3 linked regions of the Neodiprion lecontei genome follow. The protein of the gene in region 2 purifies or fractionates together with the protein of the main gene of each other region. This does not show direct contact. Links are inferred from orthologs where the notes say so. Each region holds a gene or a part of one and is shown on either strand. Other genes may lie near its edges.

Evidence for each region. Proteins that work in one complex are often made in the same cells at the same time.
Region 1: the proteins of cAMP-dependent protein kinase catalytic subunit 1 (region 2) and serine/threonine-protein kinase fused purify together in Drosophila melanogaster (affinity purification with western blotting; 3 studies listed by BioGRID, with this or other methods). This does not show direct contact. The link is inferred for Neodiprion lecontei from reciprocal best matches to the Drosophila melanogaster genes Pka-C1 and fu.
Region 3: the proteins of cAMP-dependent protein kinase catalytic subunit 1 (region 2) and protein smoothened purify together in Drosophila melanogaster (affinity purification with western blotting; 4 studies listed by BioGRID). This does not show direct contact. The link is inferred for Neodiprion lecontei from reciprocal best matches to the Drosophila melanogaster genes Pka-C1 and smo.

Annotation. Positions count from the first base shown.
Region 1 is NC_060263.1:2,682,507-2,693,360, reverse strand, and holds serine/threonine-protein kinase fused, read right to left. Parts: upstream 7,003-10,854; 5' UTR 6,794-7,002; intron 6,485-6,793; exon of another isoform or gene 6,233-6,484; 5' UTR 6,038-6,232; coding exon 5,927-6,037; intron 5,808-5,926; coding exon 5,694-5,807; intron 5,588-5,693; coding exon 5,442-5,587; intron 5,268-5,441; coding exon 5,088-5,267; intron 4,970-5,087; coding exon 4,825-4,969; intron 4,728-4,824; coding exon 4,534-4,727; intron 4,333-4,533; coding exon 3,161-4,332; intron 3,085-3,160; coding exon 2,909-3,084; intron 2,690-2,908; coding exon 2,579-2,689; 3' UTR 2,562-2,578; downstream 1-2,561. Other genes in the region: zinc metalloproteinase nas-14, read left to right, coding at 1-138, 210-512, 1,287-1,420, 1,583-1,759; NADH dehydrogenase [ubiquinone] 1 beta subcomplex subunit 10, read right to left, coding at 7,543-7,655, 7,810-7,949, 8,039-8,174, 8,293-8,374; 60S ribosomal protein L3, read left to right, coding at 8,628-8,630, 9,031-9,223, 9,324-9,492, 9,824-9,959, 10,304-10,490, 10,718-10,854. UniProt on the Drosophila melanogaster protein: Probable serine/threonine-protein kinase; maternally required for correct patterning in the posterior part of each embryonic metamere. May be involved in control of cell division during metamorphosis and ovarian development. May interact with costal-2.
Region 2 is NC_060264.1:27,451,008-27,460,628, reverse strand, and holds the start of cAMP-dependent protein kinase catalytic subunit 1, read right to left. Parts: upstream 5,330-9,621; 5' UTR 4,678-5,329; coding exon 3,616-4,677; 3' UTR 1-3,615. UniProt on the Drosophila melanogaster protein: Serine/threonine-protein kinase involved in memory formation. Promotes long-term memory by phosphorylating meng and by regulating CrebB protein stability and activity.
Region 3 is NC_060260.1:28,860,901-28,872,740, forward strand, and holds protein smoothened, read right to left. Parts: upstream 8,062-11,840; 5' UTR 7,924-8,061; intron 7,313-7,923; coding exon 7,001-7,312; intron 6,619-7,000; coding exon 6,178-6,618; intron 6,043-6,177; coding exon 5,870-6,042; intron 5,242-5,869; coding exon 4,901-5,241; intron 4,687-4,900; coding exon 4,485-4,686; intron 4,332-4,484; coding exon 4,158-4,331; intron 3,959-4,157; coding exon 2,671-3,958; 3' UTR 1,181-2,670; downstream 1-1,180. Other genes in the region: androgen-induced gene 1 protein, read left to right, coding at 1-29, 108-259, 1,018-1,070; dyslexia-associated protein KIAA0319, read left to right, coding at 9,735-10,165, 10,253-10,425, 10,507-10,881, 11,085-11,310, 11,439-11,812. UniProt on the Drosophila melanogaster protein: Segment polarity protein required for correct patterning of every segment. G protein-coupled receptor which associates with the patched protein (ptc) to transduce the hedgehog (hh) signal through the activation of an inhibitory G-protein.

The sequences.
Region 1 (10,854 bases), on a different chromosome or scaffold from region 2:
GGGAACTGAGCGGTCTCTTCGAGGGTGACATCATGGTCCATCCCGAGGGACGGGACATCGCGAAAAACGGACTCCTGGAAGCCGAGGCGCGGTGGCCGCGTGGCGAGATTCCCTACCACATCCACGAGGAGGATTTCGGTGAAAGGCTTATATTACGGTACACCTGTATAATGATAATTGCGCAGTTTCTTAATTATACAAAATCGTAGATAAGGAGGGCATCGAGGTGATCAAGGGAGCGCTGACCGAGTATCACGAGAGAACTTGCCTGCGATTCAGACCCTACGAGAAATCCGACGAGGATTACGTGTCGATAAGGGGAACCGAGTCGGGATGCTGGTCCATGGTCGGTCGGCACGGACAGGGGCAAGTCCTAAATGTTAATAACCCGAAATGCGTAAGGCATGGGATCGTGGTCCACGAGTTGATGCACGCGCTCGGTTTCTACCATCAGCAGAGCGCCGCGGACAGGGACGATTGGGTCGAGATACATTGGGATAATATCCAGGAAGGTGTGATCAGAGTTATCCTTTGGAGCGATTGACGCCGGAGATTAATCGCCTCCAAGATCCGAAATGAGATTTTTAAAAAGAGGATGACCGTTTAAACAATCACCGCAGTAGTGTTATTTACACCAATGATGAATGAACGAAACGACATCCGTACTATGCATTAATCGAAATGAATCTCAGCGAATTTTAAGGACACTCAAGTTGGGATAAAAACAATTTGAAAAAAGGTTTTACGATTCGATTGGTCGAAGTGTGATCATTTAACTCTGGTGTTTTCAATATTTTAGGGCTTATTTTTTCTGCCACAGATATCGCGATTTACAAATTTCACAAAAAATCACCTCGACGATAGATGAAAATAGATTTTCGAAAGCACGGTACAACAAATCTTTGTCAACAATTACATTGCCACGTTACGATTATACTATAATTTGAGGTTTCTTGGTTGGTTTTCAAACAATTTGTGGAAATTTGATCGGCGGGTAAAACGAGCCTAAAAACGAAGGTTCATCTTGAATTATTTGATTATGAAACCTCTGCTCAAATTGTTGACATCTTAGCTTGTGTTATTCGAATTCGATCAGATTCATTTCTATAACATAATATAATGTTGTTTAATCCATGTCCACCATCATTGTCGTAAATAACATGGCTGAAGATTTTTACAACGGTTTTTGTTTTCTCATTTCGTAACTCATGATTCAGACGATTATACCCATTCATTTGCCTCTTGGCATGATAAATTGCGATATAAAAAAGTTTTCTTTCATTAAGGCAAGGAGCACAACTTCAAGAAATACGACAACAAGACAGTAACCGACTTCGGAATCCCCTATGACTACAAGAGCATCATGCACTATAGCTCGCACGCTTTTTCGAAGAACAATCAGCCCACGATCACACCAATAGTAAGAAACTGAAATTGTTACGCGCTTGACGGTAGATCAGGCACACAGTTTGCTTGCAAGAACTATGAATTGCCTACGGTTAGGCACCTCAGGGATGATATTAATTAGACTCTTTTTCGAACAAATTCGAACAAAAATTAAAAACCCATTTTTTCCTTACAGAAGGAGGAGGTAAAGCTTGGCCAGCGCAAGGGATTGACGAAGAAAGATATCGCGAAAATCGACCGCATGTACGAAGAGGAATGCAAAGCGCGCGAGTCTTCGGAGAGTTCAAGCGAATCTGGTAGCACGAGCGAGTCTAGCGAAGAGAAAAATATACTTGGCTGGCTATTCGACTGACTCTTGTGGGCTCTGTAGCTCAAATTAGAGTAATTCTGATGGGCGATTCTTTCATACCGAAAGCAGGAAACATGCGAGAATAACGGAAGACGATAATTTCCACCGATAGTAAAATACCGAGGGCATTGTATTTAGATTTGTGTAAAAAGAAATATAAATATCTTTTAAATCAAATTCGCAATTAACAAATTCGATACATACATCATAAAGAGTCATTTATGCGTTGCTGAACGCAAGACCCGGGTAAGAAAGGGAACTAATTATGCATGCGTCAGGAAGAACGACTGCGTCAGTCGAACCCGGTGTTCCGCAACGAATAAATGACCCTGTAAATTCACTAATGATAAAGCTAATTTATGTGTAAGTGTTTATGTATATAATCAATGCGTGAAATTCATATCACATACAGATTACTCCTATCACGATTTTACGGTAATACGAAAAGTATGAAAAATCGGCGTAAAGCTTATTTAATCTTTTCGTCGGCAGAAATTGCTACAGTAACCATGAATTATGTTCTTCTTCAAATTATACTTATTTTTTTTGAGAACGATGGGATAAAAAATAATAAGCACATTATTATGATGTACTTTTTCGCTAAATAAACCTTTCCAGCAATTAAAGTATTTCGCCGTAATTAATGCTCGATAACAATCGAAGAAAAGCACCCTTGATCTTGAATTTGAAATGCAATTGAAAATAACTGTAAAAGAAAATAAAAAAAAATTAAAAACTCACTGAAAATAGATCCATGTCGCACAGGTTGGAACGGAAACACAGAACGTCTTAATGATACTTATGATGATGAACGTATTGCAGTTAACCGGTTGGACTCTGCTGGTTGTAATACAGCAGTTGCTTCAACTCACTAACCGCATCTTCAGCGGCCTGCAAACGAGCGGTTCCAATCAGCAATCGATGTATTCTCATCTGATTTTTCTCAAAACAGGTTTATAATTTTCATCGTTTTTCGATAAAGAATCTTTTATGAGGAATCGAAATTAATGTACATTTTGGACAAAAAACGAATTATAAGAACGCAATTGACGGTGAACGAACAGAAAAAGAAAACCAGACAGAGCAGTTGCACGTGAAATTGATTGATTCCTGGAGAATTTAGATAAATTTTTCTCTAAATATAATACTCACGTTACGCACTACTTCTTCGTTGTCTAGTGTCAGACTCTCGAGTAGATTTCTAAGTGGCCTACCCCAGGCCTGCTGTAGTGCCCTGCAGCTGAACCTTCCAAGTAATCTGACCAACGTGCAGCTTCTTGCCCTTAGAACGCTCTGTCTGTGCGTGAGGAGCTTGCTAAGTTGTTCGACTGTAAGTTAGAATTCGATTACTGTTGCGCATTGGGAAAAAAAGTTGGGTAAAATAACTATGTGCTGGATAAGTACCGGGTGTCTTTGTGCGAAGGACGACTCTTTCCACCAACTCGGCGTTTTCAGGCTGACACCTGAGAACGTTGTTGAATATGGCTACAAGGTCGGCAACGACCCTGGACTTCCGTTTCTCCAAAGTGATGAGCTGCTGAAGAAGAGGCATACCGTTCACAATGTAAATAGCATCGCAAAGCTGCGTCAGAAACTGCTCCTGAACGTAAACAAGTCTGCACAGCATCAACATCACACATTCAAGTGCCTGCAGCTCGTCCGCTGACAAAGTGGCAGCTGATCGCGTGTCGCCGGTCGGCGAAGGACTCGAGTCTTCTCGGCGTTCCGACATCAAGAGCTTCACTGCATAGACCAGATTTGGGACAACCCTGACGTCCAGATAGACTTGTTTTATTTTATTCAGGCGTTCCACACTCATCGGAAGGACAAAAGGCAGGGACAAGAGGCAGGCGACATATTCGACGACCCGGCATCCTGCGGCTGGGTTTCTTAGAGGCGAAACGAACACGGAAACGCAGTTTTGCTGCAGCAACGACACGACCTCTCCATCCATCACTTCTTCCATTGATCGTTGTAGAAAAGCCACCCACTCCTCATTTTCTATAGGTTGTTCAACCGCCCTGGGATCCCAGTCAGAAAGTCTGACTTGCTTGTTAGCTATATCTTCACTAAATTCTTGATCATAGTCGAAACTCAAACGACTCTGCTTGTAATCACCATCGGCACCGGGCAGTTGTTCAACTGCAGATGTACCTTTGTGGCAAACACTCGCTCCATCACCCCGAGCCTGTGAATTATTGTCCTTAGACGTCCGTCGGGAGGTAGATTTTCCTCTGAATTCGTCCGTCTTCATCGGTTGCGCAGTTTCAAGTGTCCCCGTGATGGAAGCTTGCCTAACGTTAGTGTTAGGGCAATCATTCTGGCACAGCGCGTGATCTGCGGCAAGCAGATCGCTCCGCAAAGATGCCCTTAGGCTCAGATTCCCAAGCAGCACGTCAACACTGGCACTGGAATCCGATCCACTAGGTTCACTGCGACACAAAATTTGACATTGCCGGTTTTGACAATATCCACGTGTAATTGGGTATCGAGGCTGAGAGACGCAAGTCATGTGGCGCTGTTCCCTTAGTTTGCGTTCTTGTTCTTGAATTTTTTGTACTGCTTTTTCCAGAACTCTGTAAAATATCATGAAACTGTGAAACTTGAACCATCAAATTTTAGCTAAACAAATTTTTTCCGCCCAATATGGCTCGAAATATCACAGAAGAAATCCAATATATTGATAAAAAGACATTTCTCAGTTTGAGAAAACCTTGCAAAATTTTCGTATAGTACTTTGTTTATGATAGGTATAAATTTTAGTAAAAAAATCATACTTTGATTGACTAGTGGAACGCATGGCGAGACTTTGAAGCTGTTGTTGTTTAGCTCGTGCTTGACTCGCGGACAGGGGAGTTGTGAACGGTGTTGGAGCAGTTCTACCGACCATCAGGATCCTGTCCTTGACAAATGGGTGATTCAGAAGATCTGGCCAAGTGAGCCTCAGCGAGGGATCTTTTTGAAGCAAACCCTGAATAGGTATTGACCAAAAACCTCCAGAAATTATAATGAGTTACTAGATAAGAATATTTGGTAACCCAATTTTAAGGTATTAAAAAAATGCTCACCTGCAGAAAGCTTTTGCAGTTTTCTGATATATAGTCTGGCCACTTGACTGCCTCAAATCTTATGAGTCTGACCAAATGTAATATGGAAGTTGTTTGGAAAGGAGGCGTTCCAACCACTAGCTCGTAAACTATGCAGCCAAGGGACCTGTACATCAATAAAAAAAATATAATCCATTGTCCGAGTTTGAAGGTACAAAACTAACTTCTGTTCATTTCCCAATAATTTTTAACAGCATCAGATGTCACTGATATTTGATACGCACCATAAGTCAGCGTTGTGGTCGTATGGACATTCTTCAATTAGCTCTGGAGCCATATAAAGAGGGGTCCCTTTTATCGAAGTGAGAACATGTGTGCCGGTGCTCATGCTTCGAGCAAATCCAAAATCACACAATTTAGCCACACCGTTAGCCTCAAGCAAAACATTTTGGGGTTTCAAATCTCTGAAATAATAATTAGATTTAATAATGCATTGGCGACTAATCCGCAAGATATGTCAAAACTCGTGTCAAGCAACTGTTTCTAAAACACTGAGAAAGAACTCTGGGAGTTGGTAAATTAACATGCGATCGACTCTGTCGCGCCTGCCATAAATGAGAAAAATTTGATCCACAAACCTGTGAAGCACTCTATTTGAATGTAAGTAGTAAAGTGCGGAGACAAGATCGCAGGCAATAACTTGGGCTCTTTCCTCTGACAAGCGGCCAGCTTTTCCTAATATTTCATATAACTCTTTGTCAGCATATTCCGTAATGACAACGATCTAAAGATACATTCATAAGATGGTTTGAGGATCGATAATTGACGTGCGTGTTATAATTCCGAAAGAAGAGTAAATCTCAAAACGGCATGAAAGTCGAGTAACTCACCTCGTTTTCAGTCTCGAAAGAATCTAACATTTGTATGATGTTTGGATGATGGAGGTGACGTTGTATTTCACATTCCTGTCTCAGACTCTTGAGCTCTTTAAGCGAACGACCGCGCTGCATATACAAATTTAATTATAGCGTAAGCTCTGTTGTGTGTGCGTGTGCGTGTGCGTGTGTGTAACCGTCGAAACCTATCGGAGCTGAGAATTTGAAAATGGAAACAACGCGCTCACCTTTCTGATAACCTTAAAAGCGACAACTTCACCGTCCGCTCGCTTCTTGGCCTTGTAGACTTGCCCGAAAGATCCTTCGCCGACCTGACCGAGTACCTCGTACTTCTCCATGTCGAATTCGCACGATTGGAGACGTAGTTTACCGTCATTCGAATAACCTCAGACCAGAGAACCTTTTGTACGTGCGCGTGTCAATGTTTCAAACGTCCGACACGATTCAAAACAACATACAATTCACGTGCCAAGAATTACCCTGATCAATTCCGGTCGAGCGCCGCCATTTTGGCCGCCGTTTTCTGCCGAAGTCTTATAGAGGCGATATGATTGGGTGTAGCGACCACCAAATAATCAATAATCAATTAATGAACAATGATTAATACAATTGGCAGAAAAAACCCATCTCTGCTAATTTTTGATTCAGCTGGATTTTTTTTTGTTCGACGCAGACAGCCGGTAGCCCTTCGTTGACCGTGAAAATTTCGGCGAATTGATCGAAACATAATTACCACATAGTCCGGATTCCATTGTAACGGTTTTTTCAGTCGTCGAATTTCAATCAACAGATGAATGATTGTCGAAGCATTATTTCATCAGAAAACAGTTATCATTACTGAAAACTCTACTCGGGAGCAATCTCAAGATGACTGAAAGCTTTTAGGCATAATATAAGATACATTGAAACGTTGACTGAAACATTTGACGAACGATAATTTTATACATTCGAAACCGACTAAACAAACTTGCTCTAATTAACTGGCCGAAGAATACACAATCATAGTAACAATGCAAGCACACATTTATCAAGAGCTTGCAAGAATGAGACAGTAAAAGAAAAGCCAAATTAACTATTTTATGTGATATAATTACCTATTATAAATTTAGTAGGAATATACTAACGCAGATTTCTTGATCCACCCCGAAAAATGCGATCTGGATTCCGCAGCGTCGAAGAACAGTCGAAGTACGTGCGCCGTTCTTTTGATGGTTTCTCCTTGAATTCAAATTTCACTCAGAGCTAATTTCAGATCGCATTCTCGATCACGTGAGTCACGTTTATCAAATTGCCGTCACCTGCAGTATAAGGCGCGGATGTTCTTCAGACTTTATTTTGTATACTGCATTATACCTAGAGTCCTTGGTTTTAAGCGTGCGCCTGATGTTGATAAAAAAAATTTGTTTTCATCAGAGATGTAGGAATGATGTAGGAACGTAGAGATACAATACTAGTTTTAAAAAAAAACTGCTGAATAATAGAGCCAGTGGTCGGTAGCGCAACGACCTCAGAAAAATTTGTAAATACATATAGGTATATTCTAGCTGCATACGGAAGAAAGCGCGGCAACCACATAGCTGAAGCAGAATTTACGAATGATGTTTGAACGGTTTATAGATAGAAGAGAAACACCTCTATGTGTATTACATACATTCAATAAATTTCTTCAAGATACATCTCACAGTTCGCTTGGAATTATTGGCGATAGATTGAGTTGATTAGCAATTACATTATTGTTTAAAAATCAGAAAAGTTTCATGATCATTTTTATTAATTTATTGTGTATAATTATCTACAATATCGATTTTTCGCGACTCTATAAAATGTATTTTCATTTTAGTTTTTATTCGCGATTCATTCCAGTTCCAACTGGACCATATCGTCTTTCCCAAATCATGCGATGTTTTTGTTTCATTAATGCGTCTCGTGTGTGACCGTATGCACCAAGGTCACCATCTGGAAAAATGATAATAATGTTTACTATGTGTACAGTATCGTGCAGTGGAGATATAGAATCCCTGAAAATCTGAAGAAACCATTCTTCGATATTAGATGTTCAGAGTACAGAAGATTCAACAAGTAAGATAAGTCGGCGCCATACTCAACATACACTTGATAAACCAATTCGTAGAAGCTTCGTTGTACTGATCCCACAGATGCCGACATTTGGCCGTTTGGTCATGTCCTTCATATAAAGTACAATCCTCGAAACGTTGTCTTAGAATATTTATGATATCGCTTTCAACCAGTCTGAAATATGAGAGAGAAACAAAGCCAAGTTTGACAATTGATAGGAAGAAGCTACCCAGAAAGAATGACCAGTAACTCGGTATAATTACTTGTCTCGTTTGAACTGAATGTTTGCTTCGTACGAGCAAACTGGATCATCCATATAACACTCATCAATGGTTGGAACACGGCGAAATTTTTGGTGGTACCAAGGATAATGTTGCTGATTTGGGACAACAATTTTTTCTAAAATTCGTAATCAAGGAATTATCATCGAGATATACATGCTTGAGAAGACACGGGCGGTCGTTCGGAACATCGGCTATTTTCGTATCATAACCTAAAAGAAGTGATTAGATAATACCTCGGAAAAAGGTGACAGGTCCGTCAAGAATATTGAATACCGCGTTAGCAAATGCGATGACAATGTTCCGTTCCTCTGCCATATTAGACAATTATTTAATTATTATTTACAACAAACAATGTTCTCAAAATAAGTGCGAGGCAGACGACAGAGAGATTTAGATCCGACTGCAGTGAATCGATGTCAAGTAATCGAGAGGTGTGTCTCTTCCATTTCGACTTGACGTTCGAATTCCAAAATCGAATATCGAGGCTTCTCCATAGTTGCCGTCATCACTGCGGTATAAAAGTGAAATCCGCAACGTACGATCCTCCATTTTCAACGCAGTCAGCGCGATGGTGAGTACGGTTGATGTCTGTCGGTGATAAAATAATCCGTTAAAATCTGTGGCATCCTGCATCGCCTGCGTCCAATTAACTCATCGAGTTACTGAGAACAGGTTTCTCTGTAATTGTAGTGCAATATTTTTTTCCTACCGTTAATCCAAAACGCCGTAAAAATTTTTCGGAAAATTCGAACCTCGTGTCGCGTCCCTTGGCTCGTCGAGAGTTTTTGGCGTTTTCGATGCAATGCTACTCCTATCAGTGATGATTTAGATTTCAATGTTTATGGTTTAAACTGATTAACCCTGATGATATTATTCTAGGGCGGTCTGAGAATTTTATCCCCTAACAAAACGCCCGTCACACGTGGCCATCTGCAACTTCTAATCTTGTATTTTTCATTCTTTGCCCACAGTCTCATAGAAAATTCAGCGCGCCCCGACACGGGTCTATGGGGTTCTACCCCAAGAAGAGGTCTCAACGGCATCGTGGAAAAGTAAAGGCCTTCCCCAAGGATGACCCTACCAAGCCCGTTCACCTTACTGCTTTTATAGGCTATAAGGCTGGCATGACCCATGTTGTCCGAGAAGCTGACCGTCCGGGATCAAGTGAGTCGATTACCCTATTTTCACCCTTCCCTAATCATGGAGCAAATTCATAGCCCTCACGCTCTAATCCTGCAACGACATGTTTATTTGCTTTTAACAGAGGTCAACAAGAAGGAAATTGTCGAGGCTGTGACTATTTTGGAAACTCCACCAATGATTGTTGTTGGTGTTGTTGGATACATCGAAACTCCTCATGGTCTTAGGGCTCTGACTACTGTTTGGGCAGAGCATCTCTCAGAAGAATGCCGTCGCCGCTTCTACAAGAATTGGTATGCGATTGATTGTAGACTGAACATTTTGAATTACCAGATCCTTAGATAGCTTGATATATCAAAGTAATGCAAAAAGAAAACATCAAGTCAACACTGTTCTTTTTACTAGTGCAGTATGTAGTTTTAGCTTCTGTGATTAGACGTGCATTATACTCTACTTGCTCTACCCCAGCTCTCCACTCGAAAGATGAGAGTAATATTCGGAATCAGCCGCCTGGCGTAATCCTCATTATGCATGGGGTTGTTCCGAGAAGGTGTCCAGTCTCCTCTCGCTATGATGAGACTGGCTCCGTACAATATGTTTAGGAACCTCGTTGCTGTTGTATAGGTATAAGAGCAAGAAGAAGGCGTTCACCAAGGCATCAAAGAAGTGGCAGGATGATCTTGGTCGCAAATCAATCGAGAAGGATCTTAAGAAGATTGTGAAGTACTGCAAGGTTGTGCGCATCATCGCCCACACTCAGGTAATTTTTCCCTTCACAGTATGGAACATTACTCCAATCTAAATATTTTTGGCCGACGTCATTGCTATTAATTCGTGCAGAAATGCGCTGGATTCTTAGCAAATGCGGTGCGGAGCTGCTTGATCTCGTGCAGTTTGGTTCTTACCGCGGCGTCGAATATTAACTCTGTCCTCTGCTTTGCAGAGTGTATGGAGACACGACATATTCCATAAACTCTTTGGAGCCCATTGGGCCGTGACCATTGAGGCAAACCATGTCTGGTACAGTCCTATTGTGATGAATCCTTTTTCTGCTCAGTTCCCAGGACCCTGATTATAATGATTATACCTTTATGTGATAAACAGATGAAGCTGCTGAAGCAACGTCAAAAGAAGGCTCACATCATGGAAATTCAACTGAACGGTGGTACCATCGATCAAAAAGTTCAATGGGCTCGGGAGCATCTCGAGAAACCAGTTCCTGTCAACAATGTCTTTGCCACTGATGAGGTGATCGATGTTATTGGTGTTACGAAGGGCAAAGGATACAAGGGTATGTATCCAAGTTAATATATTCATTCACTATGCTTTAATACTGGCAATGTATAAGCGGGTCGTAATGATGAGAAAACATGATGTGCTTTTCTGATACTATTGAAGATACAATCATGCTGCCTTCCTACTGAAACTCCTGTGGCCACATTTATTTTAGGCTATCTAATTAGCTCAGTCCATGCAATTGATCAAGTCAACGTGGATCTTTATTAATTATGTTTTCAGGTGTTACGTCTCGTTGGCACACGAAAAAGCTTCCTCGTAAGACGCACAAGGGTTTGAGGAAAGTAGCTTGTATCGGTGCCTGGCATCCGAGTCGTGTTTCCTTCACAGTTGCCCGTGCTGGTCAAAAGGGATATCAT
Region 2 (9,621 bases):
TATCTCTTTCTCTCTCTCTCTCTCTCTCTCTCTCTCTCTTTCTCTCTCTCTCTCATTCTTCACCTTGTTTGTCGCAGAGATACATCGAAGATAAAAGTACGTACTATAATAATAATAAACCACATCGTGCATGTAGCGTTTAATAATAAAATACACGTTACACGCGAAGCGAAATTTTTCGACGTTGACAAACGGCGAAAAAATTCGTATTCTATTACAATTTTTCCATTTCGCGTTTTCTACTAATTTCATTATCGAAATTCGCGACAAAGTCCCGTCACCCCGGACACCGCGATAAATTGTTTAGAAAAAAAAAAAAAAAAACACAAGTCAAAGACGACGACGACGCCGTGACACAATTAACGGTAAACATTCCAACTTCGTTCTACGTTTTTGTTTGTTTGTTTCTTTCTTTTTTTTTCTTTTCTATTTATTTGCTTATTACTTTTTGTCTAAAAATTTTACGCCGCAGAAAACTCGCTCCAATTTCATAATAAAATTTACAAACTATCATAAATAATTTTCATAACAAGACGAATGAAGAAACACAACGTTGTAAAACAATGCAAAAATTTCTGGTGAAGGGGGGGGGTTAGCGGTAGATTATCAGTACACGACACGTCGGCAGGTGTCGTTGATTTGGCAGGCGGAGAGAAAGAACCGGGTCATTGCGGAATATTCCAATGGAAATTTCAAAGGTCCCTGGGATGCGTACGTAAGAGCGACGCCGACGACGTTACGCGCTCTTCTGCAATATAACGCCACCACCGCGTACGAAAACCGCTTTTACTATTAATGTCCCCCTGGGCTAGAAACACGAGAGCCCTGAGATCTCCGAGACGACTGGTTATAATAACGCCGTTTGAATATTCATAAACATTTTGCATACGTAGAACGAACTAGTTCGAATCCAACGTACTCTGCACAAGTGACGAACCTCGCTTCATTCGCTGTTCGCGAATTTACATTAACGCGAGAAAAAAAAAAAAAAGAAAACCGCGTCAGCGTTTCGGAGGACGTTCGTGTTAAAAGTACGGGGATTGCGTTGATGCGTCCGTCTGTAAAAATCTCACTTTCAAGGAAGCTGCTTGATATTTACTAGATGGTAGAAAAAACGAGGCTGAAGTTAGTAACGTTAACGTATCGAGAAGTTGAAACTAAGAAAAAAAAAAAAAAAAAAATCACTATTTCCCACCGTTAGGAAAACGACATTTTTTTTCTATAAGATGCACCGTTACAACAACGTAACAAACTTATTCCAAAAATAAGTCAAATTATGATCATGTTCGAGATGTCCTGAAATTTGCGCGCATTGTACTGATTCAAAAATGCAACGTTAATGTTAGACTACGTACGATACGTTTTGAAAACCATAAGAGCAGCTCCGCTGACTTACATGTCCCGAGGAACGAGTAACGGTAAATTCACTTAACATTTCACTGAGCGATCAACACACTTGTAACGATCGACGAATAACGATGAATACGAGAAAAGCGATGACAACGAAACCTCGACGATTCGCGTTCAAAATTCAATATCGTACTCTTTTTTTCATCAACGTTAGTTTCTCATACTCCGACTTGATGTGCGATTTCGATCCGACAACGAATATTGATTCAACCATCGGCTCAACGAATCCCTACAAGATTTTAAGATAATCAGAATTATTGTCACTGCAAAGTATACTTTATCCACACTTTTTCATCACTCCATGAAATATTTGCAAAACACGGATTCAAACGAGAACCGAATTCATGATCACAGTGTTATAATTTCGATATAAATATAACTGTGTCACGAGTATAGTTAGCTAACTTTTCGGTCAATGCGACCCCCCCCCCCGTAGACAAGGATAATAATAATAATGATAATCACCGACGCAGAGCAAGTCGTTTGGAATTCGCAATTCACAATCGGAGAATCATTGTTTTTTTTTTCACATGCGTAAAGAATATGTACATACGTATATAAAAATTATTACAACAATAATAAAAAGATGCGAATGAACAAAACGAAACGACAAAAAAAAAAAAGACGTTCGACGCTAAAAATACATAATAAGAATTGAGGGTGTTTCAACGCCGTCGTCGACGCGTTTACATCGGATAAAGATCTCCCTGCGGTGTGATAATAAAAGTTGACGACAAACACACGAGGAGAGAAAGAGAGAGAGGATGAAGGAAGAGGAGAAGAATGACGACTACGACTACGACAATGATGATGATGATGATGATGATGGTGATGGTGATGAAGATGATTATTATCATTCCTCGCCCGCAGCGACAACGCCGCTGAGAGAGTATAATAATATAGAAATGACCGTAAAAACTCATATAAGGATGTTTACTCGTATTAGCAGAGTGCCGCGTAGCAATACCGTTTATAGGCTAGAATGGCTAGATGAATCGAGACAGTTCGACACGATCTGTCCTATCATTTCTCATTACCTCCTCCGTAATCTCTACCGACCACCGCGAACATTCTCTTCGACTTACACGTGACAACATATTAGACTGACTTTAAAATTATAGGTACGCGTGTTTCGATTATCCCTTTTTTATCTCTCTTTCTCTCTTTCTCTTTCTCTCTCTCTTTCCCCTTTCGAAACTCTCTTAAAACATTTTTCTTAATTTACACTATATAACGGAAGGACAGACAGATCATCATGTTTGTTGAGATTATGTATCTCCAATTCGTTCATCCACACACACACACACTCTCTCTCTCTCTCTTTCTATAACACGCCCTAAAACAGAAAATAGAATCCTGTGTTTCTCTCTATGTATCTGCATTTCTACACACGTTCACACGGACACACACAAAAATTATATCTTGGATCGTTCATCCCGCGACGTTGCTGAACGTTTTTTTATTTATTTATTTTTTTTTCTGTTTCTTCTCCCTTTCTTTTTCTTTCTCCTATTTTTCCAGTACTCTTCACTATTCTTCGTCTTCTTCTTCTCCTTCTTCTCTGTCTTCTTCAACTTTTTCTCCCTCTTCTTCTTCTTCTTCTTCTTTTGATTCTTCTTCTTCTCTCAATCGAGGACAAATTATAAGGATTACACGTGATACCGAACGAGACGACGCGTCACACGGAACACGTATATTGCAGACACGGGGTATACGGATTATACGCGCGTATATGATATAATCCTGCATCGGTATTAGGACATGGTACGGCGTTCGAAACTTAGCACCGGTACCAGGTTTTTTTTTTTTTGTTATTCATTTTTATTAATTTTTTCCTTTCTCCCGTCATCCTCAATTTGAACCCCCGTAGCCGTGTAGCCGTAGCTGAAGGACGCGTTTCACGTTGCGTCCAGAAAAGTCATCATCGTCGTCATCATCGTCATGATCGTCGGCGACGACTGTTCGATTGTATACCGAACGCGACAACGCGATCCGTTGTTGCTGTTCTTGTTCTTGTTGTTGTTGTTCTTGTTGTTGTTGTTGTTGTTTATGTTGATCTTGATATTGTTCTTGTTGTGGTTGTTTTTGTTTTTGTAGTAATTGTTGTTGTCGTCGATCCAGTTGTTGTCGATCGCGCGATATGTTGCGACGACGTAACAGCCACGACCGGATGATCGTAAATTGGTTCAGATTAGCTTCGTCGCCTCAAAACTCGGCGAATTCCTTGGCGCATTTCTCCGTCGAGGAAATCCTGAGCGCCTCCTCCTCGTAGTCGTCGAAATTGCTCGTGTCACCGGGTCCCTTGCACCTCGGTATGAACGGTGCCTCGATCCTCTTTTGAAAAACAGCGATCCAATCGGTGCTCGAGAACCACTTGTGACCCTTGATGTCGTTCACCCCTGCCTTCAGGTTGCCGTACCGTTTCGTAAGGTCGACCTGAAGCAGGTTCCTCAGAAGGTCCTTAAGGTCGCTACCGAAGTGCGACGGGAACCTGACCTTGCCGCTGACTATCTTCTCGTATATCTGTATCGGCTGGTCGGCGAAGAATGGGGGATAACCGGCGGCCATTTCGTACACCAGGACACCCAGTGCCCACCAGTCTACCGCCTTGTTGTAACCCTTGCTGAGTATGATCTCCGGTGCCAGGTACTCCGGCGTTCCGCAGAGGGTCCACGTCCTGCCCTTGACCCTCTTGGCGAAGCCAAAGTCGGTGACCTTGAGGTAACCCTGGGAATCGATGAGGAGATTCTCGGGCTTAAGGTCCCTGTATATAAGGTCCAGGTAGTGAAGGTATTCGAAGGCGAGTACGATCTGGGCGGCGTAAAACCGCGAATGGGGTTCGGAGAACCTGCCGACCTTGCGTAGGTGACTGAACATCTCGCCGCCGGGTACGTACTCCAGTACCATGTAAAGGTTCGAGTTGTCCTTGAAGTGGAAGCGCAACGAGACCAGGAACGGGAAGCTGATAGCCTGCAGAATCCGTTTCTCGTTCAGGGTGTGCTCGACCTGCTTCAGCTTCACGACCTTCTGCTTGTCCAGTATCTTCATCGCGTAGTACTCCTTGGTGGGTTTATGCTGTACGATCATTACCCGTCCGAACGACCCGGTCCCGAGTGTTTTTATCCGTTCGAAATCATCGAGCCCGGCCGTGTTCGTTGGATTCTTCTTCCATTTCTCCTCGAAGTCCTCCTTCGCCTGATCGAGGAACTCCTTGACACTCTCGGCGGCGTCCACCTTCTTGTTTGCCGTTGCGGCGTTGTTACCCATCTTCGAAGAGCCGCCCGAGCCAGCCAGGGCTCCACGTATGTCGAATTTTTTCAAAATTTTGCAAGCTTTTATGAATCCGGTAAGACGGTTAATTTATCAAGCCAAACAACTGAGGCTTGATGTATCAACGCTGGGCTCCCGAATACTCGCGCTATCGCAACTTAACCGAGTAGGAACACCTCCCGGATCAATGTCTCTCTTTCTCTGTCTCTCTCTCTCACTCTACCGGCCCAGGCCCTTCCTTCGCCTCTGACGATAATGTTCTGACTCGATTCTTATCCCTTATCCGGACTTATTTTTATCCACGGTGTAATCTACTTAAATTTATTTGTATGTTTTCTTTTTTCTAAATTTGTTTATTTGTTTTGTCCTTCGATTCGCGTCTCTCTTTACTTTTTCTATTACTTAATCTGTCTTTCGTTTTTTCCTCGCACTTAATTAACACCCCACTGTTCACACCACCATCGATGCTCGATTTACGAAATGGGTCAACACTCCTCGTCCGTGGCTCGCGCCATCTTTCACCCCGCCGTCACCTTTCCACCACCACCACCGGCACCTCCAACGGAACCAGCACTACTGCTGCTGCCACTACCACCACTACTGCTGCCGCTGCTACTGCTGCTGCAGACAACTGCTACAACTACCACCACCACCACCACCACCACCACCACCACCACCCACCACCACCACCACCACCACCACCACCTCCACCACTACTGGTCACCACCCACCACAACTACCGCTGCAGGGGCGACGGTGAGTGAGGAACGTTTATTGAACAAAACACTGTTCCTGACTCGATGATCCTCCTCGGTGGCGTTGCGCAGTGTCACAGTAACAACTTTTCGATAACCAATATTTATTTTCTCCGACTCTCGGTCTGTACTTTATCCTCATATGTATATATCACAACAAGTTTTTCAGTGTCACCAATTGTTCGTCGCGTGCATCATTCGGTGTGTTCTCGCAAGCTTTTGGTATAATCGAGTCGTCGACACTTGTTCAGTATATATATATTTTTCCCACCGAAAATTGGTCGACTGTTTAGCGTACTTCTTCGCTCTTTCGTTACTCACGTCGTGCAGATATCGGCACAAGAGCGTACAACGTTCCGCTATAATCCACTACTGCCGGAGAACTTCGGACTAAAGGTCGTGTCGTTCGGTGTGTACAAAAGATGAAAGAGGCGAAACTCTGTCCGTATACACGCGTAGCTGTGTAAGTTTGTGTGTTAGAGAGGGAAAGAGAGACGGAGTGAACAAGTTGTGTTTCGACTAGTCGAGGCGGGGAAGAAGGGGGGGGGGAGAGAGAGAGAGAGAGAGAGAGAGAGAGAGAGAGAGAAAGAGCAAGAGAGAGCGACAGACAGAAATAATATTTCGGTGTACAGTTGTTCTTTTTATCCGTCGTCGAACCAACTCCGCTTCTCTCTAACTTTAGTCAGTATATTTCTCTCTCGTCTCACGATCCGGACGCCACAGCAGTAGTAAGTAGCATTTACGACCGTCGGTCCGTTCACTCGCGACGAGTGCCGATCGTCAACGCGAAACAGAGTACAGCACGAATATTACTCAGTCTCTTCGTATTATTCCTCTCGGTTACACCCGTTACATTTATCCCTCTCCTTTCAATCCGTTCGAATTATATTCAATAGATATGCATGTGCATGCATGTTGTATGTCGTGTGTATGTAGAATAAAATATATATCCGTCGAAACAGCGCACGAAGAATCCCTCCCCCCCCTTTTCCCTCCTTAGGAGAGTTATCAAAATCGTTCCCCTCCTCTCTTCTTTTCTCCTCTACGATATCTTCTCGCCGGTTTTGTACCCTCTGTTTTGTGTTGAGGGATTTTTATTTATTTATTTTATTTATTTATTTTTTTTTTTACTTCTTTCTTATTATTGTTATTATCCCCCTTATTTAAGATGGCGTCCGTCTCCGTATACGTGCGGCGGTTACGCGAAAGTCCGCCGATAATATTCCATCCTTTCACGGGGATTTTGCACGAACGCGAAAATGGTGGATTTAGAGGAGACGGAGGAGGAGGAGGAGGTCGAGAGAGAGCGGGCGAGCTGGTCCGCGCTGCTCCGTGTAAACCCGTATAGACCGTGAACACAAACTAGAGAAATACGGTTGTCGCGTTACGTCGTCCTCGTCGCCGACGCCGCCGCTCTCGCCGTCCTTGTCATTGCCGCCACCGCCGCCTCAGGGATGTCCGGAGGTTCACCGAACGACGTTGAGAATTCTAATCACCTCCGTCGTCCGCTAGATGGCGGGTCGAAACCCGGCGTCAGCGGGCCGGAGTGATCGGCTGGTGCCGCCACCTGCCGACGGCGTCGGTGAACCAAATCTCCCCTCCCGGCGCTATTTCCATCACGAGACCGGCGCGGACGGTGACTTTCCTTGCTTTACTTGTTATCATTATTTCCCCCCGCGACCTCCCTCTCCGCGCTCCTCGCTCCGATCTTTTTGTCTTCCTCCTTCCTCTTTTTTCTCACCGTTTACACCTGCCGCCGTCACAGTGTATGGATAAAAAGAGGTAGAGAAGTGTTTCGGGTATGTATATGTATGTATGTGTGTGTGTGTGTGTGTTGTGTGGTTGCTGGTGTGTGCAATATGCCCGAGAAACTGGTCGCGCGATCGGACGGTGTGTGATGATAACAATGATAATAACGACGATGATAAAAGCATAATCAAGAAAACCAAGATAAATTGGATAGATAATTTGAGAAAGAGAAAGAGCGGTGGACAGCGAAATATTGTGAGAAAGATTAACCTCCCTCGGTATCTTGTTAGTTACGTGAAATAATATTCGAAAAAAAAAAAATATATATATACATATATATATGTTGTATAATATGTATGAAACTTTGCACGTAACAACATGAAACATGCAATCCAAAAACTTTCACTACTTACAAGCTCTTTGCACGCTTAGTAACAATGAGATTAGGTATTATTCCTTATTTGTAATACATGTTGTAACGTTATACCAAATGAGGGAGAAAATAGAACTTATCGCGGGTTTTCCCGGCGAAATGCTCGGCATAAATTCATATCTGTAACGAATTAATTGTAAGGAAAGTAAAGAGTTAAATTTACGAGGCTGAAGTTATTAATGTAACGTTTAGTAACGGAACGTTAGGGAGAAAAAATCATTAAAGTGCAATTTCCGAATGACTTAGAAGGTGTCAACTTTTTGAAATATGTGCGTATGTTTTGTTTATCGTTGTTTACTAGATTTCAGATAATCCTAAATGTGCGAAGTAACGCGAGTTTTCCCAAACATTGCATAGTTACTGTAACGTTACTAACTTCATCCTCTTAAAAAATTTTAGTACAAGTCATCGCTGCGAAGAAAAATCTACTCGATTCATACCGCATATCTTAAACCCTGATTCGTATTTTCATGTTTACTATTTAGTTGAACTTCTGACTTGGTTTTCAATCAACGAAACGTCTGCAATGCATTTGTACATCGTTATTACATGTACAGATAATGTTATTCAAGACTTTCACTTTCAAAATAACCCACATGTATTCCTATATTATACCATCCTGTTTTTCATATCGTAAATTATCGTCTATTTTTAGGCAGGTCCAACAACGTTTTATTTACAAAACAACAACACGAACGTGATGTGTAACATCACGGTGGAAATTTTCAATTCTAAACATACCACCGCCAACTTGTTCATTTTTTTTTTCCTTCCAAATATACAATATAATTCCTTCGTAACGTATACCGTGTCGCGTATCCTTTCTTAAATTTACGGCAAATGAAATAAGAAAAATAAAACATGCACACGCACACACACACACACGCGCAAGTAGGTATATGCTTCATCTTTCATCTTCCGAATCATAAAACATAAATAAACTTCCGTTAAATATCTATCGTCCATCTCCAGCTGCGGTTGTGCCACAACCGTATCTAAATTTGACCCGCATTTGAGAATATTGAATTCATCAAATTTGCAATCATCGTTAAACTTACGCGCCATCGCTTTATCTCTGCGCCCTTGTTCGATCCCACTGCGCGAAACTTTCCCTGCGGATACAAAAATTTGTCTATTTCTCCAGATTTCACACATCATAAATATAAACGTGACGTGCACTGAATACACAATTATCCAAACTATTTCCATCTCCTTCAAAATTGACATTCCCCCATACGATTATTACAAAACCGTTATATCCATAGAACACAGCGAGTATGTAATGAGTTTCGCTTCCCAATGTTCGACACATGGCCAAACGAGGTCACGAATCAATTTTCCAACAGACGTTTAATGAGACAACAAAATGAGTAAAAAGAAACTGCGAAGTGGGGCAAAAAATAAAAAATAAAAATTTAAGAAGAAAAAAAAACAAAAAAAAAAACCCGCCGCTTACAGACACATACGCAAATAAAGAAGCATGGTGGTTACATCACGGTTGGGGTTGAGGGATAGCGGTATGTGTCGTGTTACGGCACGTTTATATTTAGCCGTTTCTTGTTTATTTTTCCTCTTTACCTTTACTTTCGATGAATATATCCCACTACCACCATCACGGCCATCAGCAGCAGAGGAGCAACAACGGCACTCGACTTATACACGCGTTATTACACGTGCATGTGGCTATACGTGCCTCTGTACGACAACTCTAGGCATAAGTATCGCATAAGCACAGTACCACCGAGTACATATTCATGTGTATAATATGCATAAAACTAATTCTTTTACTCCCAACACGGTTGTTCGTTTTTACGTAACGCAACAACTATATCCTCAATTTCTGACGTATTCTTGCCTTGCTTTATCTATTCATACTAGTTTCGCTGTAAAATGAACATTCACCCTCGAGAGAAGGAAGAATAAAAAAAAAAAAAAAAAAATGGAAATAAAAATGATAAAGACGATACCAATGACGTAGCCTCCTGCACCCTGAACCGTACGTAT
Region 3 (11,840 bases), on a different chromosome or scaffold from region 2:
CTTATATTTATGGCTTCCTACTTAGTGTGGTACGTCACAGCATAAATAATTGCATTATTTAGAGGAAAAGAGTTTTATGATGTTTTAATGATGAATTATTTCTGCAGGTTGCTTATTATTTATGCAAAGAGCGAAATCTGGGTATATCCTGTCATGGAGGTGCTGTCGTGGCCACAGCGGGTTGGTTTTTTCGTTGTACTTTTCCTATTTACTGCAATTCTGTACATCTTGGGAGAGTACTTGGATCGGCTCATCTGGGGTAACGCTCTATCTCATCCCTGCAAATCTCATTTCAAGTAGCCTTCACAGGAAATGTCAGGAAACTATGCATACTCTTCAATGGCGGTGATTACACATTTGTGCTTTGAATGCACGTCTGCATGTTTAGGAACACGTTCAAAGTTGTCTAAGTTTTGATTTCAAAACTAGTACATTTTATCGATGAACATCTAATCTATGCGTTTTTGTGTTGGAAAATTGAAATTTAATTTTGCAATTCGATAAGTGCGTGTAAAGTGGTCCGAATTTACATGACCAAGGTTTGACCCTAACGCCCGCCGAATTGGTCGCCGATTTATTTCCTACTCCTACTCCACCAAATGCATATTTTCAAGGGGATGTATATTTGATGGAGTAGAAGTAACCTCACTGAAAGTCAGGTCAGGTCCAACGTCACTAACATTTTACAAAACGACTAAATCAGTTCATTTTCAGTTATCAATATATGTTTTAAACATGTATTAATCTTTTACGTTTAAATTAAATTTTGAAGAACCAAATTTATATAAGTGAATTGAATAACTTTGAATAACCTTTTCAAGTTTACTGAACCCATTGTACTTGATTGTATACTTCCAGACTTTTCCTTGGGCTGCTTGATCTAAAATGGTCGTTTTATTGCATTCAAATGAATGTTCCCGTTGCTAATATTAACATTTGTGAAAAAATAACATTTTCCCATACTCTAACTTCTCTCTACTTACAAAACTTCAGTAATTGCAATCTGATATTTTTCAGGACGGGCTAAGAAATCTGTAGGTAAGAGTGCCAAGAAGAAGAAATCAAAATGAAGGGTCAATCTGTTGGTATTATATAGTTTCATTGCTATTACCAATGCATAAATTGTTATATATTTTTGTTTAATTTTTGATCCATATCATTAAAAGATTTTTCATTGTCCTTTCCGCATTTTTCGTAACAGTGCATTTGTTATTACTGTAACATGTCATCACGTTTACGCCGTGATGTAAAATTCAGCATATAAGAATCGTTGATAATTGTTATCTAAGCAATAACGATAAATATAGTTATTATATAGGACAGTTATTGCAGCAATCAGATCTGATCATGAAGCAATTTGTTACATTTTGTAAAAATAAATGGAGATTGTTAAATTGATGAATGAGCTATTTCATAGTACGTCGAGTTTTGTTTGATTGTGAGATCTAGTAAGAATTGTAGTACTTCGTTTACTTACTCGAAAAGGAACAAGAACGTTGTTGCCTTAAAGTATTTTAATGTTTACTAAAATGTGTTCATTAATAATGTTTACATTCATTTCTTGTGCGATAGTGCTTTAATCGTAGTACGGCTTACTTATCTGTGGTTTTACTGTAAATTACTATCCATAGAAAGTGAAAATGTACGTATTTTTTAGCTTCAAGCAATATGATTTCAGATGCATCAAAATATTGCATTGTACAATAGGAACTGTATTCATCTCGAACATTTTACACTGGCTCATTTTAGATAACACTATACTCGAGCAATTCATTGTTTCGAATTGTGAGACATTGAGTAATATAATACACAATGGGATGGGTGGTTTTTTTGCACTTTATTATTGTAAACGGAAAAAATTGAACATGACATTATGATAGTAGCCATGCTATGTATAATAAAACTTAATACTTAAAAAAGCTGATATACTGATTACCTGTACAAGAATTGGAGTCAATCTATAACACAATTATCTATCGAAAACAATATTGATCTCGGATACTTGTTCCGAACAAAGTACGATCAATATTGCTCCAACAAGTTGGAACGTTATGCACTCAGTCAGTCTTGATTTGAGAATAAAAAAAATGTTAAATATGTAAAAAGAATTTGTTTGCCTCCATATTTTGCCAACTTCTGGCATGCATCTTAAATCATACCTTAATTAAATGTCAACAAGATTATGTAAAATGGCGTACGTGGATGCTCGTAATAGATAGCTTACATGAAAGTTGAAAAAAGTAAATTAAGGGCACATCATGATACTATAAATTATAACGAAATATAAGAAGTGTTGAGTACGTACAATTAAATCATCTGATTTCAGATGAATAAATTGTGACGGTTAGTTGTATAATGTTCAGTAATCATGCTTATTGAGTATCACAATTATTTGCTTTACAAAGTTGGTCAATTTCTCGAAATACATTTCCCGACATTGAACAGAGTTAAAATATACTTATTACTTAGCTGGATTTATTTTTTATCCTAATATAATGTTATTACGTTAAAAGAGTTACGTTAAAAGAAGTATAGATCTCAACAGTACTCGGCTTTACCTGAAACATAGCTTAGATTTGTTGAACACGCAAGTACGTATGTTGACTCCACACTACCTGACACTAAACCGGCTTAAAACACATTTCAATTTTCATGTATGACTAAACAACTCTACCTGATGTCAGAAGATTTACGATTAGCTGTTTTGTTGAGTTGTGGGGAAATCTGTGTCCCTTTAGAGCTACAATTTCTACTGTTAATTATTTCATCAATACTTTGCTTTAATTCCTCCATCTCTAAAATATCAAGAGGGAGAGAAGTTTGTGTAGCCATCTCTCTGGCATTGGATTGAATGTTTGCATCATCACTTTGACGCTTTGTTAACTTCGTTTTCGAATCGTCAGATTGTATGAGTCGAGAGAGCTCCGGACAGAAAGATGTCAAACTCGATACCAGGTCACCTTTTCTGTACATATCTTTGAGCTCTACTTCCATGTCTTTTACTTTCAGTTCTTTACGTCGACCACTACTGTCATGAATATAGCTCTTTGTACTATTGTTACTTGACTTACTTTTACTTCGCTCGGGAGGTTCTTCAACAGATATCATTTTCGTATTTTCTTCAGCATGGCTATCTTCGCTCTCACTGTCCTGCTCTTCTTTATCCACATTGCAGGCTTCCACATCGATGTCTTTACGTGGATTAATACGCGAACCTTTCTCTTCACTGCTCAAGTTTTCGTCACTCTCACTTTGTCCTGGGAATAAAAACGGCAATATCATGCCTGCGTTTTTACCATCTAGCATTTTTGAATTTATGGCTTGCCCATCCAGGCCAGCACTGGCAGATCTTCTTTTCATGTTTGGCATTTGTAAGGGCGGAATGTTGGGATTCCCTCCAATAGTCAAAGCTGAAAGAATCTGGGCTCCCAGTTCGCTCTCCTGTGATGTTGTACTACCTCTTCGAAAAAGTGGTTTAACTTTTCCAGATCTTGTCTTGTTGAAATCGCGCCTCCTACGTTTTCCTCGCCTGCTACGAGAATTACCAGGTAACGTAGTGGAAGCTACTTTTCTAGTTGTCTTAAGTTCTGCTATTTGTACAGAGATTTGGGAATCCAATGAATTTCTTCGGGACTCTACAGACACACGACGAACGCTAAAACTAATTTCTGAGTCAACGGAATTCCGTCGGTTGCTCGATACAGATCCTGTTGTTACACCAACTAAAGCACCCCTTCTTGTCACCAGCTTTGGTAATGCAGCTGCCCACGTTGAACTGAAGTCTTGAGAGGCTACTGAATTTAGTTCAAAATTTAGACCAACTGGATCTTCATGTGTGTTGTGGAAGCTTATAGATAATCGTCCAGCATTTTTAAATGTATTTCTCTTTTCATAGGCTTGAGCAATTGCTTTGTACTTTTTTGGTATAATTTGTTCTTCTGCCTCACAGTTGAAAGTTCTGTAATGATGAACAGATTCGAAGTAAGTAAATCAATATTCTTACGTAATCTGTGAAAGTGCATACTGGTGAAGAATTCTCAAGAACTCTTGTCATTCATTCGAAATGAATTTACTTTATCAACCTTCAACATAAAACTTAGTATTTGCACAATATCAATTTACTTATAGCTGCCATGTCTTGGGGAATTTGTTCTCACCGTCTAAGAAATCTTTTCCAGGTATCCACAGTTGATCCCGTCCAAACCCAAGAAGACATTAAAACACCAGCAAAGAATGGCGATAATAAATGTAATTGAAGCTTGGCCGCGCTGGGTCTTGATGTCATTTTACATTCTGATACTCCTGCAGTATATTTCGTTGTAATAGTGCAGCTAAGCATAAAATTGGTATTCATTTAAAAAATTATACATTTACTATTGTCCAGTATTTTGTAGCAATATAGTGATAGTGGTCATACAAAAGTACTCTTTAAAAACAATTATTAACAAAAAATTCACAATAATTATGCATAACCAAACGCTTACATCATATAATCTCGGAAGCTTTGTTTCCATTCCCACGAGTGTTGGAATTCATGGATGTGACAATAAAATGTTACTATTACTGCCACAAAGGTAAATATCGAAAATAATCCCAATCTCACAATTGTTTCTCGAATTTTGGAGCTAGCTCGCTTAGATATTACTTCCTGACTGCTTATCTTCAGATGAATTAACGTTATCAATCCTGAAACAGGAGAAACTTTTGAGAAACTGATTTTTCGAATCAATTAGAAAATTAGTTTATCCAAGTTGTAGAATCATCAATTGACAGATATACGAATCTTGCAACATACTTACTCTTTGAGTACGAGTGGAAGAAAGCATAAAAATAGAATGGTATAATTAGATTATGAATTACTGCATTGTACTGAAAACAAAATCAGTTCAAAATAATATACCTCTTGATAAGAAATATCCTCCAACAAGTAGTACAATGCAAATAGGTCCCAATAAAAACCACGCTCTCACAGCGTGATTTGCATAGCCCACAAAACATATTCCAGTAACACTGTTTCCATCTATTTCTCCCAGAGCCATAATTGTGACTGTCAATACTAGCGGAAGACACCAAGCGATGAGATGAAAATAAGCTCCTTTTTTATCAATTCTGTCCTGGATCTTTCCAAGAGCTTGAAAACTCATATGCCATGCGTACGTAAAGATAACAAACCAAACCATAGCTGCCATCAGAAAATAGTAAACGAGAACAAATACCACCACGCAGGATAAGTTCTCACCGCTGCAAAACAGATATTCGTTGTGTGATTAATTTGATTAAAATTTCTGAATCAAGTTTGCTTCATTTGCAAAATGATTTCAATATTGGTACATAAAAATAAAATTACAATCTACTCGTGACACAAATAAAGATATCAAAATGGCTTGAAGGCGATTTTTATTACAGTAGACTTTACTTAATAAGTATTCTAGTCAGACACTCAGTTTATCATTTGTAGAACCAAATCAATGATGTGATGTGACATACACATGTATCCTATCAATTTAAAGTACTTGATTAGTTATTCAGTATAGCCTAGCAAGGAAACTGTTTCTGAACGTAAGCAATACGTGATTTCCAAGGAGAAAAACTACATGTATTTGTTACCAAGTAATATTAGTGTAGTATATTCCCTGACACGCACTCACTTAGGTATACAAACACAAAGTATTATGAGTTTATTGTTCATATAAGGAATAAGTGGTTATAAATAAGCGCAATTATTCGCATTGCTATAGTAAAATACTGATTCAGTAGGGCATTATTTATGCATCTAGCGTACTTAAGGCCCGTTGAAAAATCAGTAAGAAACAATGTAATTAATCTTATTCTTTGCAGAAGCTCATTTTCAACTTAAATTTATATGTACCTTGGTTCACTCATTCTTAAAGTGCCATCTTTTCGGCAAACAATAACATCTCTGCTACCAGGACCGAACTGTGCCAGCCACCCTACACACGATACCATGAAACAGCTGTTGATGTAGAATATTACTAAAGCTGGGTATTTGTTAGCACTCCTCCAGTCAATCAAAAATGTGACCTAAACATAACGAACAACTTCTGATGAATTTTCATTGATCGAAAGTCACAATTCATAACTAAAGCTTGATATATACTTATAGTTCAATGCAACTATTCAAGGGGCCAAGTTCATTATCGCAATCTACTAACTTACCACGGTAAACAAATTGAACAGTAGGCAGGTTGCAGCAGCCCATGCGACAAAGGAATGGATTTGACGCTGTTCGTCCGGTGTGAAAAGTGGATCGCTGCACTGAGTGCCGCACCCTTCAATACCGTCGAAAATTGATAGTGAATTGTCTGTGTGTATAAGTGGCTTCAGGCATTTACCGGAAGTGTTGAATTTCAAGTCTCTGACATCGTTTTTACACATTTTTGGAAAAAGTTCTGCATTTTCACATCTGATGAAACTTGGCCAGATTGTGTGATTAAACAATAAACGGCATGGGCCAGAGACCATTTTGCACTTCTCTTGCGAAGGCAAATCTACAATGCCATTGATGCATTTTGGCATAAAGATTGAACACAAAAATGGTTGAACTACTGCCCAGCATTTTGGAATGTGCATAAGACCACGGAATTGGTTCAAGTTCTCCTGTGAAGATGAATTCAAAATACATAGATCCAATTAGTTAATTTGAAACCAGTTAAACGTACACAGTGAAATACATAGAGTAACAGTTAATAGAATTCAGAGTATTTTAAAGTCTTGAAATAAATCACCTATGATTCGGTTTTAAAAAAATTACATCATATAATAGAAGTAAATTGAATCTCAAGATTACCATCAATACCAAAGCTATTCTTAGCACTAATAGAACTGTTTTTCAAGTATTGCTCCCGAACAGAATCACAATAACCCGTTATAATTGGAACAGATTTTTGACAGATCAGGTACTGAGTTCAGGAGGTATTCAGTATAAATTTTCCAAAATGCATGCTTCCTTATCATTAATATACATATGTACAATAATAACCTGTATACTTCCTTCTAAGGTAGAATCAGGGATGAGGTCTAACGTAGTAGTTGAATACGTCAATCTAGTACCCATGCACAAAGTATTGTTGCTGATATCAATACACTTTGCCGCTTTTCTACAATTTGCAGACTCTGCACTTGTATATCCATCCATCAAGAAACTCTGGTCTTCATGTCTGAGCCCTGACCTTCCAATCTCTATTCCATTCCAGGTTTCATTATTACCATTGGCAACAGACAAAAAGTTCCGGCTTAGTTCTGATCCAACTCCATAGAATACGGCCATTATCAAAAAGGCAAGCTGGAGCATCTAATTACAGAGAATGCTACACTTGTAGTCTTGTTTTTAATGCACGTATACAATATACATATATTCTTTCCTAGAAAGCAAGTTCAAGTAAAATAGACTAAACTGAGACTATCATCTTGCGTTATTTTATTGATAGTAAAATAAATCTCATAATCAGTAGCCAGTTTCTCAGGTCTATCTGGAAAAACCAATCTTTTTACTACAAGCTGATCTTGTACCTATTGACGAGATGTTGCTGTATATTCATTTCAATAATGATTTTTCAAAGATATAAGTACCAATAATTCATGTGTGCAAGTTTGAGTACTATGTTGACGATGATGTTTACAATTAAAACGCATGGATGCTTATCAGGATGCCAGGTTCTGACCATTCTAATTTAACATTTACCATTAAAAACATGATCAGAATCTGACAACCCAAATATGTGTATACACGCGAAGGAGAAATAATATTGTTATAATAAATAATATTTTTATGGAAAATTGGACTTACTGCACACAATGCACACCACTTTATCCTCAAATACCATTAATTATAAAGCTCCAAGAGAAAGTAAAAATTTTTAATTACTTAAAAATAACCGGGATGTGTAATTAACGATCACGTACCTTGATATCGAATACTCCTTGACCAAGGTAAGTAATTATCAGCCAATCTTTCCACGACAACCTCTGACATTTGTCCGATTTGTCATCAGAGCGTCGCCGAGAAGCGTCTTTTCAGACAAAGCGATCCGCATGCAATCGTGCCCGCAACGCATTCTATAGCTGACGACGCCGGGCGGCGGGTAGTCGGGTATGCCGGACGAAGGACCACACGCACGTTGCTCCCTGCCCCCGCGACCACCCCCCGATCCGGGTACCTCGGGACCACCCACGACGTCAAGATCCTCCATTCAGTCGGCGATAAGTTGCTACCAGGAAGGAAGAGGGGAGGAGACCTAACTCTTTCCCATGGAGACTACACAATGAGCAAGAACTCAAGTAGGTGAATTGACTAAACTTATCACAGTAATCGTTTACATTAGGTTTATTTTTTGTACCGAAGTGTCATTGGTTGCAGGGATGCTCAAGCCGACTGATCGATGATCTTGCAATGTAATTCGTAGAAAGTTTCCACTACCACCCCATACCCCCTGCACTGCCTTCGGTGCATACGGAACACCAGTGTCATCTTAATTCAGGCTGCTACTTGATTACATGGAGTTCGTGCTCCTTGTGTAGTTTCCATACTCTTTCCGAAGGCAAAGCTGGGACACATCTAAACGTCTTCAGTTCATCGTAACGCATCCAAAACCGAGCCCTTGCCGTGCCCGTGAGTCGTCAGCGTCAGCGCATAAGTCTTTTACCGACATCTTGCGATAAGTTACGGAAACATCACTCTGTAAAACACCACGGAGCTAGGATTGGTTATCTCATGCACCATTTCTACGCCATGCCAGTAGCAGCCCAGTGCAGACGGCATCGCACACCTGTCAAAGCAGACGAAGTCGTGAATTTAGTCCACTGATATCAAAGAGAAGGAGGGATTGGAGAACTGTCAGATCCGATTTTTCTAATGGTTCCACTGACGTTGAATTTAGCCTTGAAGATCTGACTCATGAATGGTGAATTTGTGTTACAGGTGAGTAAGCAAAAGTTTTAAAGTTTTTAGCAACGGCTGTTAGACCGATTCTCGTCAGAGAGGGCTGAGGAAGTGCGATAAGACCCGTATGCAGATTATTTACATACTGATAAAAACTTCCCGTTAAACGTACGTGAAACACATCTGGGGATTAAAGAAATAAGAGACATTATGTTAATTACCTGCAGGCTATTCTAATGTACTGATATTAGAATAATCCATAATGTGCCATATGCTGGTGATACTAACCTAACTTCGTATTGTACAAACGGCAGACGTCAAGTGTGTTATCGAAAGCGGCTTTACCAAATATTTTTAATACTTTGCATTCCACTTTTGCGACTCTATATTCTTTATATTCACCAGCTTATTTCTCTGTTGCGACAATGTACCGGCGGTAAGTGTCTGATAAAAGATATACCTCTTTTTTTAACTTTACACTTATGTAGTGTTTTTCTTTGGTTATACTCAAATCACACTGAATGCAGCTTGATTATCACATGAATAAATCCGTAATATGCTAGTAACACTTTGCTCATGACATAGTGTGTGCAGTAAATAGACATTGAAAATTTTGAAGTAAACATAATCTGGAAAATTGAATTTTTATCTCTCGAACGTCAACCACTCATGTGTCAATACAGAGTGTTCATTTCTCACATATTCCTACATTCATGCAATACGAAATTATTAAAATAAAACTCAAGATGACGTAATTATACTAATAACAATAACCAATAACCCAATTTGAAGAAATCTATCCTCTTTTTTTTTCCAATTTCGCAGCTATTGAACAATGAAATCCCTAATCCACACACTGTCTCTTCTCCTGTGCCTGCAAATCACGACAAGCCAATTTTCTAAGTTTTCTAAATTTTCCAAGTTTTCACTTGGGAATTGGCAACGAATGTGTCCCGATATGTATCCATACGAATACAAAGGCTTTGCTCCAATGGGAAACTACAGTGCAGGAACGTTTACGGAGATGAGTTCATTTACAAGTATCGTCCATTGCGTGACTGAATGTTGCCATGATCTGACTTGCAACGTTATTTTGATGCACAATAATACTTGCTATCATGTATCATGTAGAAGCAATAAACTCTGTGCTCCGCTATATCGGCCTGACAAAGCTGATAGCTATATTCCACCAACTATGGTATTAATCAGACCTGTAGAAGGAGATGGCCCATGGGCAAATTGGGTCGAAGATAACGAGGATACCAGGTACGTACAATTTAGTTCGCATTTAATTTTTTTACATAATATTTCGCAGATACGACTAAATGTAATACAACTATAAATTTCATTCAGTGCTTTGCTGATGGCTGCTGCAGATCAAAATGATTATACATATAGATCCGACATTAACACCGAGTGTTCATTTGATTTGCAAGAATGTGGAGAGAATGAGGTTTGTGTAACTGGTGACAAGTCTAAAAATGGATTCTGTCAGTGTATTGATAATTACAAGAGAACATTGCAAGGTAATTATTCAAAAACCATGTTAAAATTTAACCTACTTCGTAACACCATAAATTGTAACCACATTTTTTCTAATTTTAAAGGAATTTGCAAACCAACGGATGAGCTCAATGGTCTCAGGCAGGCAGTTACCTCAGATGTCACACAGGAGTCAAGCACATCGGTGAAACCTCCATTAAAAAAACTATCAGTATCAGCTGTATCTAAGGAAGTTCAACTCCCAGAAAATGAGGCCACATTAACAGCATATACCTACCCGGCGGAACAAGGGAATGAGCATTATAATTATGTTTGGAGTTTATTAAGTCAACCAGAAGGACCACCTGGAACTATAATGGATCAAAATCGTGTCACAGTAAAGCTTAGTCATCTTTCCGAGGGCTTATATATGTTCAAAGTCGTTGTTAGCAGTCCTAATGCCTATGGAGAAGCATATGCAAATGTCAGCGTTCTACCACGTAAGTATCATAATGCTACCTTTTGCATTGATTTACCTGGCATGTCATTGATAATTTGACGAATAATCCAACTGAGTACATGATCTTGACGTGTTTTCTAATGAAACTACTGTAATGTCAAATTGCAGTATGTAGGTTTATACATTTTACTGATCAACTAATATGTATTCTCTGACTGAGTTATCAATCTTCTGCATTTGTAGCCAAACGAGTAAATCAGGCACCAATTGCTGTAATATCACCGGAATCCCAAGTAGTGAAGTTACCTAATACGGGAGCTGTGTTAGATGGATCGGCAAGTACGGACGACGACAAAGTGATTTCACATCACTGGGAGTTGCAGAAGGGTCCAATTGGTTATCAACCAGAACTTTTAGATACCCCTACACTTCAGTTGAACAATCTGATTGCAGGAAACTATACTTTCAAGTATGTATTTTTCTTAACATTATTTGTAAGGCGTTGAGAAATGTTAATTAAAATGTTGATCTTCTTTTTTTTTTGTTTCATTTTTAATTGAAAATATTTACCACAGCATTAATTTCTCTATTTTTTAGATTAACAGTTGAAGACTCTGATCATGTAACAAACTTTACAACAGCTAACATAACAGTATTAAAGGTGATTGATTATCCTCCAAGCGCAAATGCTGGCGAGGATATTATAATCTATTTACCTCAGAATACTATTACTCTGAATGGTAATTTGAGTACGGATGATAGAGGCATTGCCAGTTGGGAATGGACCAAAAGTCAATCGGACCAAAACAAAGCTGTTGATATGCAGAACACTCGAACGCCGTACTTACAATTATCGAATCTAGAGGAGGGAAGATATACCTTTGTTTTGAAGGTAATGGATGATTCGGAACAATCCTCGACGGCCGAAGTTCATGTTTTTGTAAAAGCACCAACTAACAAACCGCCTAATGGTGAGTAACAGGCAATTCTTGTGTTGTA